Linked DNA regions of Struthio camelus. The protein of the gene in region 1 interacts with the protein of each later gene in a biochemical or structural test. Links are inferred from orthologs where the notes say so. Each region holds a gene or a part of one and is shown on either strand. Other genes may lie near its edges.

Region 1 (8,166 bases):
GGAACGAGGTTTGGATTTTCTCTTGACCTCTTCCAGGGTACCTACTGTCATGCCCTGCTGATGATGCAGCATGCAGTTGGGAGGGCCTGGAAATCCTAACCGTAGATAGGACTGCCACGCTAGGCACTTCGTAAGGGCACAGTAAGAGAGGCTGTCCCCCACCTGGGGGCTGGAAATGGCAGCTCACAGCAGGTGTCCTCCAAGAGGGACCTGAAAGCTGTGTGTGGCCTGGCTTTGAGGGTCTTGTCTTGAACCGGTTTTAACCCCGCAGGCGTTCATGCAGGAGCCACCAACAGAAGATCCCTTGCTGGAGCGACACCGCTTCAGGTGCAGCATTTTGCTAAAGCCAAGCAGACTCTTTTTGATTTCAGGATCCAGGCATTCCTCCCCAGGCGGGTTTGAGGGCCCATTTCTAGCCAATAAACTGGCAAATCAAACGATCCAGGCACAGAAAAAGGAGGAGGAAAATGACACTGCTTCTTGCCTTTTATGGGGCAGGATGACCAGTAGGGCAGCAGACAGCGCGGCCGGGGGGAGGAGCGCTCCCTGGGTACTTGCTGACTGTTTCAGCTCTCTGCTAAGCCGAATGCTGCTGCTCTACGTTTTAGAAAAAGAGGGGAGGCACCTGTAAAATGCCCTGCAAATACACCTTCCTTGCTTGTCTATGTTTATACAAATCCTGTTTTCCTAAAACAGCTCTGCAGGAAAATCACTATTTCATTCTATAAGGTAAAAATATTAATAATAAGCCCTTCTGCTGGATTTAAGACTGATCTGCTCGGTAAATATTAGAGCTTTGCAGAAAATGACACTTCTTTTTCAGAGCAAATTTCATGGTGTCTTGTTTTGCTTCTCTACACCCATATTTTCTCAATTTCAGTACAATCCTGTTTTGTGAAACAGCCTTTTGCAGTCAGGCTTTCAATTCCTCTCTCTCTTTCTCACGTTCTTTGTCTCCAGCCAGCCCGTTTTTTAAAAAAAAGTGACTGAAGAGCTCCAACTTCAAACACCTTCCAGTCAATAACACAGCTGAAACCGATATATCTCTGAGGACGATTTCAGCAAAGCTGTACATTTTGTCAAGGTGACATTCAGAGGGAAAGACTTATTCACCGCCTTTAACCCTTTCTCTTCACAGACTCGCTCTAAAACCAGCATAAGCGGAAAGCTTGGTAGGTACTTTGAGGCAAGTCTGTGTGACTTTTCTCAGCCGGTAATGAATGCCAGGCCGTCCCACCACAGATCCTGCCCCTCTTGGCTGACAAGGCTGGGTGCTCCCCATGTCTTTAATCAAACCATTCATGTCAGCCACCTCAGAATGGATTTAAGAACATAACCTTTGGCTCCCGCTTCAGAAAATCCTGGTCATGACATTGTTTCTACTTCCTGATCCCATGTCTCTCAAGTCACAAAAGGCTTTCAAAGTTGGCTGCATAAACATTTACAATGGAAAAACTTATGCAAATACACGTTAGTAGACGCTTTTACAGCGCTTTCCCTTTCTGCAGTCCCCACTGTCACCCCCTAAAAATATTTCCTCTGTGTACCTACTGGTTAAAAGACTAATCGAAGGGGTCATACAAAAACCGCTCGGTGGAAGCCACAGTCTTTACTCCAGAAAAACGTTCCCCGATTGGCAACTTGGGCACTAAGCCTCTGTAACATGACTGCCCCTCCTTCCTCCCGCTTGCCCTGGCTATTCATCTGCAGCCGCCCTTCTTGCCCTGCTCCCTCCAGAAAGACAAAACTCTTCCCTTCCGCCTGCTATTACAAGCAGGCCCGGAGGCTCTCCTCACTTTACCAACATCCCCCCTTCCCCAGCCACTGAGCTCTTGCAGTCCAACACCTACACTTCACTTAGGGGGCAGCGACTCAGCCCCACGCTCTTCTGCGGAAGACATGCCCTCTGCAGCAGGCCGTGCTGTCACCAAAAGTCTGACCTCAGCGCTGAACAGTTAGACCAGGGTTAGAAACAGCAGCAGCGCCTTTGCCACTGCAAGACATATGCTTTCAGAAAGAAGCTACACTGAGAAACCTGCCTGTAATTTCAGTGGAGGCGGGGGTATGAAATACCTTTTATTAATCTGCTGCATAATGGCAGGGCACGGTCCCACTGAGGCTCTCCTGATCTCTTCTGAGGGGACGGTGACTGTGTTATCTCTCTTGTCATCCAAAGTCAAAAGCCTCAAGCTTCACCTCACCTACTGGCTTCGGTCTTCTCTGGCCCCAGCCGCTCCTGCCTCCAGGAATAACACCTGCTCCTCCCAAACCCAGGACAGGAGGCCCCACTCCCCAGTTCCCAGCCCCAGCCTTGAATCAGGGCTCAGGGCTGCCACCTCGTCTCTCCTCTCCCTGTCTCCTACAGGACAATGTTTCCCCCGTGAGGCACGTCAGTGGGGCAGGTGGAATCACCCTCGCACCAGGCTTACCACGCACAGCCCCAGGGACTGTTGCAAACCCTTCGTCGAGTGGCACCCAGCACCGTACAGGCTGGTGGGACAAACACACACTGAACCAAGGTAAGAAAGTGCCTGGGAGGGCACCACGCTCACTACTTTGGCTGTGAAATGTAAATAGCCAGGTTGCCAACAGGCTCAAAGAGGTCAAGAGGTTATTTTCTCTGAATGCAACAACAGTATCTTGGATTATTCTCTCCTTCAGAATCAGGGGCGAGACTAGGGTGGTTTATTCTACTCCAGCAGTAAATACATGGGTTTGTTCAACCTGCTCCCAACCCTACCCTACCCTGTGGCCCAGTCAAGTGAAACCAGCTGATGCGGGCTGCACCTTCCTGACGGGTACAGCGGCGCTTTGCTTCTGTACCGGAGAGCGCACAGGGGGTAGCCCCCTGCACAAGCCGGGACAAAAGTGTCCGCGTGAAGCGCGAGGGTGAAAGTTGTACTTACAGCACGCAGAGTGCATACGCCGAAGCAATTGACTCACTGGCCCGCACAAGGAAGCTGCCATCCTTGCCTACTTTGGAGAGCAGGTCCTCGGCTCTGGAGCGAGTAATGTTGCCGTGGTACCAGCACTGATCCATAGCTGGAGTTGGAGGAAACCTGAATGTCAGTACAGGAGCTGCCAGAGCTGCCTGTGTGCCTGTGTGTAACGATCAAGCAGCTTTAGCTCACCAGCTTCCTGTTTCAATAGCGCAGAGAGGGAAAGGAAACTCAGCCGCGGACAACTTCCTTAACTCAAACAGCTCAGAGAGTGAGCGTGACATGTTCCTGCAGCCCCCGCTCTCTCTCTTCATGCTACAAGTGAAGCGAGTAGCAAGCCCTTGTTCCCTGCCTTTCCCTCCCCCTTCACATCCTAACACTCTGCATCAAAAGTCCCAGCTGGGGAGCCGGTCCGCTCCCCAGCTGATTCAGTCCCACAGGCTTTGGTGGCCTCCTGTCCCATTTCTGATCTGTTACCAGACCCTTTGAGTTTCCATCTTTTTTCTGTCCGTCTTTCCTGCCCACTGCAGGTTCCCATGGGGAATAAATAAATCCTAGACTGATCAGAAATACCTCGTGCATTAGGATCCTCAGCGCTGACTGCCCCATTCCTGCCTTGTGTAGTCCTCACATATAGCTAGGTGTGAGGAGGGGACTTGAAAGAACTGACTAAAATTACCCCTCCGTGTTTCCAGGCATGGGGACAGGCTTACAGGCTGATTTGTCTGGGAGTTTGTGACCAAAGCTCCCTGATAGTTACTGTTAGATGGATTCAAAGGTCTTTCCTACTCCAAATCCCCAAAGGAGGGATGGAGCAGAGCGATTCTGGCAGCTACGTCAGAGAGGGAAGAACTGGGGCTTTCATTTCCCTTTTCTTAGTCTGTACATCTGCCACTTGCCTGTGCTCTTCGTGGCATGCTCAGTGCTGCAAGTCCAAGGCAACGCCACCAAGGCGTGTTTGCAGCCAGCAGGGACTTTGCTACGGGGGCACTGGCCACACGGCACACGCAGGTGCCTCTCCGGTGCCTCCAGCCACTCTGCGTTTGAGGAAAGTGCTTCTGCACATCCACATTTGAGCTGTAACCAAAAGCAGCTGCCAGGCGGGGACTCTGAGTACCGAGGGGGGAGTCCCCAGGCGATGTGAAGACACTTCTAGCCTTATGCAAAGCTCACCTCCCAGCGCCTGGGAAGTGCTGCGGCCATGGTGCACGGGTCATACTGCTGCTCCCCTGCAGCAAGGCGGAAGAGCGCAGCCTCAAACGAGACAGGGAGAAACTAGAACTTGGGATGCGAGGTTGCATAAACCAGTACAACGTAGTGTTCATCCCTGTCTGCCTTCCTCGCGCTTGCACATCTACTCTGCAGTGTCCAGTTTAATTTCTGCTGCTGGGTTCAAATTGTGGGCACAAGCATAACTGCAGAGTTCAGAATGCAAAAGTATGGGACCACTGTAGGACCTCGCTGAACGGGCAGAGCTGCTCTGTGCAAAGCTTCCTATCCACGCTGAGCAAGCACTGTTTGCAGACCAAAATTACACTACGGCTTCACTCAGGTCCACAAAGGGCTTTGGGAACCAAACTTCATTGGTTTAGGTGCCTAAATAGGAGTCAGATGCTGAAAGCCATGACGTAGCTCCACATGGACGGTAGCTGTAAGCTCTTGTAAGCTACGGTGTGGCTGCAAATCCTATTCTCCACTGGGAAGAGTGCTTGCATGTGGCAAGGGGATTGTGTACCCACTTTGACTGTTTTGCCCTGCCGCAGCGTGCTGCTAACCTCACCTCTGACATCTGATACTTACAGTATAGCTGCAGCAGGAAGCAGGGCAGCTCTGAACGTCAAAGCGCTGCTTGACCTCACGGCGCTCTCTATGCAGCGGAGCCATACGTTGATGCAGAACGAACGGCGCTGCTGCACAAGCTGAGTGCTGCTGGAATGAAACTGTCTTTGGAGAGCTTCTGCTGATCTACGGCATATTAACACAGGGTAACAGAGGGGTACAAGCCCTGTTCAGATAGCTGAAAGACTGATTAGCTGGATATTGAACACTTAACCCATCCCTCCACTGGCTTCAGCATTTAGCAAACTACTGTTATTTCCATCAGATGTGTGACTCCTGTGCCCTGCTGCACAGCACTCCTCAACCTGGAGATATAAACAAGGGGATGGGATCCAAACGTGTGATGACTGTGGCACTGTGATGTGCAGGCTGGTTTCTGTATGGATTCCTCAGTCCTAAAAGAAAGCACAGTACAGCTCCAGGTGCTCAAAAGGTGAATCCCAAAGCACTAATACAAACAGCTGTGTGATCCCTAACGGCTCACACACAGCACCGCCTGAAAAGGAAACGGTGTCTGTTTTACTTCTCATGGAGCTAGCACGTGAAGTCTGCGACACTGAGGAAAGACTGATCCCTGCAAGGTCCTGAGCTATCTGCAGCCTGATTCCCAAAGGATAGCATGTACCTTACTCTGTCCTGCACAGAGACGGAGGCAGATACTTACACCATTAATTTTCTTCCCATTCATGTCTGTGTCGGAGAAGGCCAGGGAGTAGATCTGAGAAAGAAAGTATTAGAGGAGTTACCTAGAGGGGAGCTACAACATTTGCCGTAGAGAAGTGCAGTTATCTGTGCCCTCAGTTATGTGCCAGGTGATACAGTGCAGAGGGCGACACTGCAAACGTAGCAAGCGCAACCCTAGGTTTCCACAACGAATATGCTTAGAATAGCATATTATCATCGCCCAGTTGGGGCAAAGCACCACATAAGGGCTCCCCTCATAAAACAGAAGAATAATAGGTACACCTGTCAGGCAAATCCAAAGCAGACTCAACAGAATCTCTTAGATAACCGCAGCAGCAGCAGTATTTCATTTTAATTTACTTGAAAGAATGAGGCCACAGTCAAAGAACTGGGACACGTTTCAATGTTGGATAATCAAAAATTGCAGCCCTGGCAGCCTATGGACAAAGCGAACGTTACTTTTCTCTATGTTAGGTTGTTAGTCTAAGTTGTCTCTAAGACATTGCAGTAAACATTTTTTATCTGAACTGGGTTTGCTACAGATGTCCTGGTAGTATTGTACCAGCTGGCAGTGAATTCACCAGCCTGTCAAGGACCGGCGGATACATACCGTCTGCAGCATCACTCAAGATGCGCAGGGGTCACCCAACAACCCACCACACAGCCAGCCTGCACAGCGCATCAGCAAGAGTGCTGCTGGGCTTGGCCAGAGGAAAAGCCCTCTAAGAGGCATTTTTGTGTCTAGAAGCATGAAGAAATAGAAGTATGCCTGACAAGGGAAGTTAAAGCTACAGGACAGCACTTAGCTATGCTGGAGTCTAAATATAACATTCCCTCATCAGGCACCAGTAACAGGCTATTGGCCACAAAAGCGTATTTAGACTCTGCCTACATCAAAAGAGCAGATGAATAATACCCACAAAGTACTGGTTAGTGAGCTGCTCGGCGCTTTGCAGCTGCTCCAGCCCAGTGTGTTACTGACCTGCTGCTTGGGAAAGGCTTGACAAATTACAGACGTAGTTGCGCAGGCTATAAGATCTCTTCGCTCCCTTCGTACAGCAGCTCCAGGTGCCCTGCAACAAACCTAGATGAATGAGAAAAACCAGGGACCCTCTTTCATCAACAGAGCAAATGCACGCATTTTCCTTGGTGCTATTCCATACGTGCACACACACAGCATACAGCAAACAAAGATGGACTGGTACTTAAAGCAGAATCTTGTCTAGAGACATGGTCAAACCCTTTCTGGCTCCATCTGCTCTGAAGTGTCTCCCTCGGGGGTGATTCACTTCTGGTCACTCCCTTTATCTACTCACTGTATAATACCTCCTTTCAGATTGCACCTCAGCCTCAGAAGAGGCTCTCTCTCACCAAAACTGGAACTGTTTCCTTCAGAAACCTGCTGAAAAAATCTGTCTGCTTTGGAAAGCCTTCTAGCTTGAGCGCTCTCATGCTACTCAGGGCTTGGTCAAGTCCCCTTCCTCTCGCTTCCGTGCCTTTGCAATTTGCTGGAAGCAGGGCATGGTATTTGTTAGATGCACTGCCCCATATGCCAACAACGATCTCTAACAGCAAGAGCCATACTTTCAAGGCATGGGATTGCCTGAGTTAAGAGCCATTTCTCTACGGACTATAGCTTAGCACTTGTGTTAAGAAGACCAGCAATTATTTCCCCTCCTGGCTATAAATTGGGAGCTCCCTCTGCAGACCTGTCCCGATCCTGCACTTGATACAGGCAAAGTGCCATTTCTGCCACTTGCCCCATCCCCAAACCTTGCATTTTGCCTGCGTGTGTCCTGCTGTCGCTGCCCAGGGAAAGGAAGGGCTGTGCCACGTGAGACTGTGGTTTTCTTGCATGTGAGAAGTTGCAGCTGCTTATTGCAGCGTAAGCAAAGGGGCAGCAAAGCAAGAGCAGGCAGCACGGGAAGCAAGGGAAAAGGCAACGCTAGACAGAAGTACGTCTTTGAGGGGCCTGGGAACTCAGGAAGGCAACCCTGACTCCAGCCTCATGCGGCCTCTCTGATACGAGAGACTGGCAAGCCCCGAAAGCTAGAGCTTCCAGCACTGACGGCTAAAAGGAGCGCACCTAACCGGAGCTGCAGCAGTTTTCTGGAGGAGATAACTGCAGGCGGAGGGGGAACCCCAGTGTCCTCTCCACTCCTCTCTCTCTCTCCGCAGTTTGCCGAGTATAGGTCAGCATAAAATCGTTGCCACCTTTGTCCACGTGGTCCCTGCACCATCCACGCACACATCCCTTGCCAAGCATCCCTCAGGGCCTATCGGAGGCCCTGAGGTGAAACGCCTCGTACGAAAGTCATGCCTGTTTTGCGGACGAGATGTTTAAAACAGCAGCGAAAGGGATGAGTGAGAAGGGAGAGCAGGTAAAGGAAAACAAAACCAAACACGTTTAGTTTCAGTACGTTTAATAGACTTTGTAATCCATAGACGTCACAAGCCAATGACAAACTCGGGGCCAAAGAGGAGCAAGAAAAACCTTTCGCTGAAAGACAAGAAGTGAAAGAGAGGAGGAGGAGGAGGAGGATCAGGAAAGGTGGTTTTCTGAGGGATCCCCAGGAGGTTTGACACTCAGGACTCTGATGGAAAGGCTTGCTTCAAAGTGAACATGACAAAGATTATCTTCTCATATTGCTTGTGAGTCCCAAATTCAAAGAGGCAGGAGAACAGGGGTGAGCCATCTGGGCCC
Region 2 (7,171 bases), on another chromosome or scaffold:
GCTGCAGGGAGGACTGGTGCCCCACGGCTCCGGCAGCGCTGGCACGGGACCAGCGGTAGGTGACGTTGTGGGTGCCGGGGACAGCACAGGCCAGCAAGAGGCTGCACAAGCTGTGCTCGCGGAGCACCACGCGCGCATCCAGCACCGGCTGGCCGACGGGCGCTGGAAGGACAGAGGCGGTGAGGGGGGCCGGGGCAACACCACGGTGGCAGCGCGGCCTCCAGACTACTCACCCAGCACTGACACACAGAAGCAGCTGGTAATCTCGAAGCTCGATGCGTTCTCAAAGTGTGCAGCGTAGACACCACTGTCTGCCTCCGTGACCAGGCTGATCTGCAGGGAGAGCGTCCCCCGATGGAAGATGGCTCGCTGGCTAAAACGACTAACTGGGGGCCGCTCTACGCTGCTGCTCTTAGCTGTCAGGATTCGGAGCCGCTCCCCTTTGTCCAGTCTCACTCTCCAGGTAATGCTTTCCCAGAGCAGTGATGGTTCCTCTGGCACCAGCCACAGCTCTCCTCCGACAGCTGCCACTATGTCCTTGCACCCTAGGGGTTCGCAAACAGTAGGAGAAAGAGCTGAGTGGGGGGATTAGGGAGCCAGGGCACCAGCAGAGGGTACACGGCCACCCGCTGTGGAGCAGGGCTGTGCCCCAGACCCGCAGGCTGGCTCCCCCGGTGCAGCCCCACACGCATCCCCCTGGGCAAGCTCAGCCCCACCATCTCTATCCCTTTTGTCCCATCCCAGGGGCACCCCTTGGCCCCAGAAAGGAGGTGGGGGCTTGCAACACCACTGGGAACAGGCTCCAGGCTCCTGCACAGTACCATCCCTAGCCAGTTGCTTATCTTTCACACCCTATCCTCTGCCCTCACAGTGCACGGATGTGCACGCAACATCCTCTCCTCCCTACCTGCCCCTTGCACTGCCCAGCTGTTGGGTTGCAGACCCTACAATAATACACTCAGGTGGCCCATTTGCACCCCAGCTCCTTCCCTACCAGCCCTGCCCAGGGAGGAGAGGGGCAGTTGCCTGCTGGACCACTGAGAAGCCATGAAGCCATGCTGAGCCTCCCCCACTTCTTTCACACCAGCCCCGGATGTCAAGGGCTCTGGCAGAGCTGAGATAAAAAACCCTTAAAATAAACCCAAGTGGCCACCCAGTCTGGGTGCGCACAGCCCTGTGGTTTTTCCTATCTGCACGCAGCTCCAAGTGAGCACCAGCCACCATGGGTGCCCAAGCTTTGCACAGCATGGCCACATACGCATGCATGCTGCGCATGCATGCTGCCTGTGCATGCCACCCATGCACACCCCCCCCGGCACAGCCCAGCTCATGCTGCCTCTCCAGGGAAAGCTCCAGCCTCCAGGAGCTCTGCTCAGCCCCAGCTTCCTGCAGCAGGCTGGGGCTTTGCACAGGAAAGAAGAAAGCCCAGAACAGGGCTCCCCCAGGAAAGGAAAGAGCTGGCCTAGCCCCCAGGAGCTGTTTATCGGCTTCTGGCCCTGATGGGTCACACCTGGGGCTGTTTCCCATCACTCCTGGCACCAGACTACCCTCGAGCAGGAGGAACTACAGCTGCTGCTTTTGGGGCTGTTTGGTGGTGTGAGCACCTTGAAGGCACTAGGAGCCGAGTCTCACTTGTTTAGTTGTCCTCCTCTCCCTTGGTAAATCCTCGCTTTCCTGGGGAACGCTCATCCTGGCTGTGCCTCCTCTAGCCTGGGCAGAGCCCTGGCCTCCTCTCTTTGCAAGAAGAGGAACCAAAGGGAAATTTGGAAGCAAAGCCTCAAAAGATATGTTATATCAGACGAATTTTATCCCAGCGCTCTTGGGGGATGTGTTGCCCCCAGGCGCTTGTGTGGCTCAGCAGGAGGCTCGACTGCCCTCTCCACCCTAGAAAACAGCTCAGGAGCACAAGTTTGTGGTGGAAAAAATCAAACCGGTCCTCCCTACAGGATGGGAAAGCAGGAGGGACAAAAGTAGCCCAGGTTTGTTGCACGGAGGCGATCATATGCTGGCTGGGGCTGGTCTCCAAGGTAGGAGTTTGCACCCTGTGAAGGGCCAAGCGTGGCGGCGAGCTGTGGCGCGTCCAGTGGGAGACCCCGGCCACCCGGCACCGTCAGCAAGGAGAGAGGCAGGTGCTGGGGCGTGGGCGTGCAAGTTCAGGGAAAAAATGACTCAAAATCTGCCCCGTGGTCCAAAGGTGTGATTGTAGCTCACTGTCTGCAGTTGGTACGAGCAGTGGGGCCGGTGCAGCACGGCTTAGGTTAACTGTGCCAGTCAGTGGGGAGGTTTTGCAGCTGGCGCTGAGCTGCCGGCCACTGCAGGCTCAGTCGCTCCAGCTTTGAGCTGAAATCACAGGCAAAAGGTGCTGAGTTTGTTCAGCAGAGAAAACTAGCTTTGAAAAGCTGCATTTCTGGGAAGGTCTGGACAGAATGCAGCTCTTGGGCGCTGCTCCAGGAGGAAGAAAGCTTATTTCGAGCAAACCCTGGGCCCTGCACCCAGCAGGCAGCAGCGCTGCCTGCAAAGGGGAACCAGCGCCCTGGGACAGTCTGGGCCATGTTTACCTGGCTGGGTGCAGAGAGACAGCGCGCCACAGGCCAAAAACCCTCCTCAGCACTAGCTTTGTTGTCCTGCGGCTGCTGCTTCCCACTGGGCATCCGTCCCTGTGAGCGCCTTGAGCCACCCAGCCAGCTCTGCCCACACGTCCCTGCTCCACTGCCCAGCCAGAGCCTCCCATCCTGGCTGCAGGGACAAGCCGGTTTGTCCCTGGTGCCGCAGTGAGCCCCGTTTTGCAGCCTAGCTCACGTGCATCATGCCCCTTCCTCCTCCTCACCTTCCCCAGCGGCGGCAAGCAGCATGAAGCAGAGCAGCACTTGCTGGGGCAGTGCTGGCTGGTGGCACCTGGCGCCTGGCAGCTCCATGCTCCACGCCGGCAGCGAGCAGGCTTCCTGCAGTGGGGCAGGCGGCGAGATGAGAAGCTCCTCCGAGACGGCGACAGTCCGTCAATAGCTTCCTCTGTCCCCTGTGGTTTCTGCGCACCCCTTGTGCTCATGCAACATCCTCCACGTGGTGGAACAAATGGTTTGGGGGGGAGGCTTGCGTTTTTGGGGGGGGGGGGCTGTTCCTTTACTGCTCAGCTTTGGGAGGAGGAGGAGTGATGCTCTCAAGGCTGCAGCAGGCTTTTATGATTTGTGAACCGCAGCTGCGTCAAGCATCCCAAAGTCAGGCCCCAAAAAAAGCCCTGCAGTGACCTGCATTTGTAGGCTTCCAAACAGCCCCAAAGTGGAAGTGACTTCCGAGCATCTCCCCTATGCCCATGGGGCTGCAGTGTCACCCTGCAAATGGGAAAGAGCTAGGACAACCCTATCACGGGATAAGGCTTAGCACAATTTGGCTCTTCAAAGCCCAGCGTCCCAGACAAAGCCCCCACGGGTAATGGGCGGATGCTGCACCCAGCCGGGGGTTTCTATAGCGCAGGACCTGCTCCTTGGTCAGCATCCCCCTGTGAGCTGCATCCCTCCGCTCTCCTCCTCCCCGTTGCCCAGATCTCCCTCACTCCTGCCCAGCTTTGCACATCCCAGGTGGAAAGGCTGGGGCAGGGGGGCTTTTGGAGCTGGAAGAGCATCTAACCCCGTGCAGTACTCCCCAAATCAGCATCTCCCCCGCTGGGGGGGCTGCACAGGGCCGGGCAGCCTCGGGGCTCCCAGGATCAGACCTCAGGCCAGCAGTATTCGCCCACAGCTGCATCATGTCTCACTGCAAGCTTATTCCCTTTCCTGTTCAGAGAACAGTTGCTCCCGCAGCACGGCGAGCTGTGTCCAGTCTCTGCACCGGGTGCTCGGGCTGGGCTGGGCTGGGCAGGGCAGCTCATTAGAAACTGCTTTTAAAAGCTTTTCTCAGGTAGCCTTTCTGGTGTGGTTTACTTTCTCATGCAAACTAGTACAAAGAGTTTGTTGCAGGGTCAGAAAAAGCCTCATGGCAAGGAGAAAAACCCCAAGCAGCCAAAGCTGAAACCAAACTCTGCTTTCTGAATGCTGGAAAGTTTCACTGCAATAGTTCAACTGGGCCATTAAGAAGGAGTAATTTTGAAAAAATATATATGTATATTTAAGAAAACGCTGCAAACCTGGGAAAAAGTATTCTGTTCATAACACTTTAACTTGCTCTAGGAGCCACGGGAGGGCTCCTGGAGGGTAGTGAGTGAGATCTAAGTTGAAGTTTCTTTTCCGCCTCTGGAAAACGTAATTCTCTTTATATTAGCCTTTGATTACAAAAATACTTTAGGAGAAAATAACTCAGAATTGTTATTTGGGAATAAGTATTTCCCACCAGCCCAGAGGGAAGGGGAAGGAGGAGGTGAGTTGCAAGGGGAACGTGTGCAAGCCGGTGAGCTGAGACATGGCTGTCAGGGCGCTGCCGGGGGGTGTTCAGCCCCTCACCGCAGCTTTGACTCTCTCCCTCTATACCTGGGATTTTGGGGCACAGTGCCACCGAAGGCCAGGCATCCCCCGAGTCCCTGCTGCCCCAGGAAGCCTCCTTCCCAGCAGGATGATCCTGCTGCGGAATAGTGAGGCTGAAGGAAGGAGGAGCGTGGAGGGCCAGCAGGAGTGCGCAGCCCGGCACGAGCCCCTGAGCTGATCCGCCACCGTCTGCTCCTGCCCTGCAATCCCCTCGACGCTGCTAATCACCTTAGGGGCTTGGCTCTAAGCCTATTGCCCTGTCATCTGCTCAGCCCTGCCTGGCAGCTCCCAGCTGGGAAATGGCCGCTTTGGGCTGGAGAAGCCCCTCCGGCAAGGGTGCAGTGGGGGAAACTGAGGAACGAAGCCAGGTTTCGCTCAGGAGCGGCTTGCTTTCTGGGCAGCAACCAGCCCCGACCAGGAGCTATTTCCAGCCTTTGCGGGAAGGGCTTTGCAGAGGGGCTCTGTAAATGGACAGAAAGGGAACAATTTCCCGTTAAAGTCTTCGGAAGATGCTGCAGCAGCAGTTGGGCTCTGGGTGAGCAGAGGGACGCAGGTCAGCTCCGTCCCTCCAGCAGCTGCTCTGTCAACACCAGAGCTGGTTTTCTGAGGCGAAGGGCGAGCAGAAACTAAAGCAGAAATGAGCAGAAACTGAACAGAAAGTATTCTCACTGAAATTCGTACTTGGGATGGGAATATATTCCCTGCCGCGTCCACCTCCTCAAGGGAGAAACCCCAGCGCATTACCTGCCCTGCGCCGACACATGAATTGCCCTGATTTCTCCCCTGGGGCGGAAAGACACACTAATTATTCGTCAGCAGTGCTGGTACCTCGTTGTTAATCGTTCACGTTTCAGGGTAGTTTCCCATCTACAATCACTCCCTTGTGTGCACCAGGGGAGAGGCCAGGCTTGGGCTCGGCGTTTCCCCATGGCGGCCGTTTCGGGGTGTCACGTGGCAGGATCCAGTGGTGATTTTGGTCTTGTGGCCAGCACTTGCCACGATATGGGGTGAAAAGCTGACGTTTGGGGTCCCCCTTGCAGAGCCCACAGACATGCTGCGGCCAGAGCGGGGGGAACAGCTTGGGCCCCTCCAGCAGTGGGGAACTGAGGCATGGTGCATCCCTGCGGAGCCGGCTGCAGCAGGTCCCAGTGGGACAGGGCTGTGCAGGCTCCTCTGGCCCCTTCCACCACTTGTGGGCAGAGGAGCAAAAACTCATTAAGGCTACAAAGGAAAAGCAGCACTTTGCAAGGTGGAAAACCTCCACTCAGAGCATGGGCTGAGCCGATTAATTAGCGCTTTTGTCCGCGGCTCAGTTCAACACACAGGGAACAATTTCCATTAAGGGGAGCTTCCCTCTGCCAGGCGCTCTTTCAGCTGCTGGCCCGGGGAGTGGAGCCATGGCAGAGGAGGGAAAGAAAAGGAGGGAGGAAGAAAACAGGAAGGGAATGAAAGGGAAGCGTTTGCCACGTTTCGCAGACCACACTGAGGAGGAAGGGAAGATGCTGCATGCTTGAAGCACCGCATTGCAGAGGCGAGGGTGTTTTTATTCAGCGCATCAGCTGTGCTTTCTCGTTCCCCTTCCAGCTAAATTTGGCCCCCAAGAGGTGAAAGCAAGGAGGGCTCCCGCGGGCCAGGGTTTCTGCACAGGCAGAGCTGCTCGTGTGGCGGCATGCTTGGCCCAGGGACACGTGGCCGCTTCCCCAGCTCCGACGCCTTCCCGGGGCCCTTCCTGACCTAGGGGCCGGGAAAATGGCCAGCGCATCTGAACCGCTCCTGCTCGGGCATCCCCCACGACCACCGCCGGGCCAGCTGGGAGCTGCTGGGAGTGGCGAAGGTGACGGCCGATGCACGCCAGGGAGCAGGCTCCCGCAAACTTGCACCACCCTTGCATGGGGCTTTCACCCCCAGGTCCAAGCCACCACCCTTCCCCTTTGCAAACAGCAAAAGCAAACGCAGGGATCTGGGTGCCTCCTGTTCGAATCCGCTTTCCGCAGGCCAAGCAATGAAACAGGCTGGTTGTGCAGCCCCTTCCCACCCCGTCCAGCATCCGCTTCAGTTCTTAACTGAGAGATTGGAGGCAAAATATCCTGCCAGCCCCGGAGCTCGGCTCTGCCCAAGAGGTGGCAGCATGCACCCACGCTCCGTCCCGGCCGGAGCTGTGCTGCCAGGGCCAGGGCCCAGCTTGGGCCTGGGTCTCCCCACCATAATGTCCCCCAGATCCCTCTAGTGCTGCACCCACCCCTGCACCAAGCACACGGCAGTGTCTGGGCTCAGTGCGGGACTTCTCTCCGGTGGGAACGTCATCGGTTGCGTGTTCATGGCCCCGAATCTGGCGCGAGATAATAATTGAACGTCTCATAAAAAATTATGTAGTTTATAATAAGTGAATTATTTACTGGTGACCCTGACTAAATGCTGCGTGGTATAAATTATTGAGTGGTAGATCCGTCAAAAAGTTCTCATAAATAAGTTATCTGGTGCCGTCTTAATGTTCCCAGTAAATTACTCATTCAATCTCCCATCTAAATGCTCTCCTGGGGAAATTACTCGCTCCTGCTGATTTATGAATTAGGACTGGGCAAATAAGGATGATTAGGAAGGGGAGCCCTGTTGGGACGCTGCTTCGGCGGGACGCCTCGCCCTGACACGCGGACGCCAGCACAGGGTGCTCACCTGCCAGCCAGGGGCCATGGGCAGGTTGTGCCTGCAACCCTCAG

The links.
Region 2: the proteins of INPP5D (region 1) and CD244 interact in a biophysical measurement, tested with the Homo sapiens proteins (2 studies listed by IntAct). The link is inferred for Struthio camelus from reciprocal best matches to the Homo sapiens genes INPP5D and CD244.

What each region holds. Positions count from the first base shown.
Region 1 is NC_090950.1:6,084,770-6,092,935, reverse strand, and holds the start of INPP5D (phosphatidylinositol 3,4,5-trisphosphate 5-phosphatase 1), read right to left. Parts: upstream 3,152-8,166; 5' UTR 3,041-3,151; coding exon 2,907-3,040; intron 1-2,906. Other genes in the region: NEU2 (sialidase-2), read right to left, coding at 8,049-8,166. UniProt on the Homo sapiens protein: Phosphatidylinositol (PtdIns) phosphatase that specifically hydrolyzes the 5-phosphate of phosphatidylinositol-3,4,5-trisphosphate (PtdIns(3,4,5)P3) to produce PtdIns(3,4)P2, thereby negatively regulating the PI3K (phosphoinositide 3-kinase) pathways.
Region 2 is NC_090971.1:5,240,564-5,247,734, forward strand, and holds the start of CD244 (natural killer cell receptor 2B4), read right to left. Parts: upstream 3,019-7,171; 5' UTR 2,916-3,018; coding exon 2,828-2,915; intron 546-2,827; coding exon 234-545; intron 163-233; coding exon 1-162. UniProt on the Homo sapiens protein: Heterophilic receptor of the signaling lymphocytic activation molecule (SLAM) family; its ligand is CD48.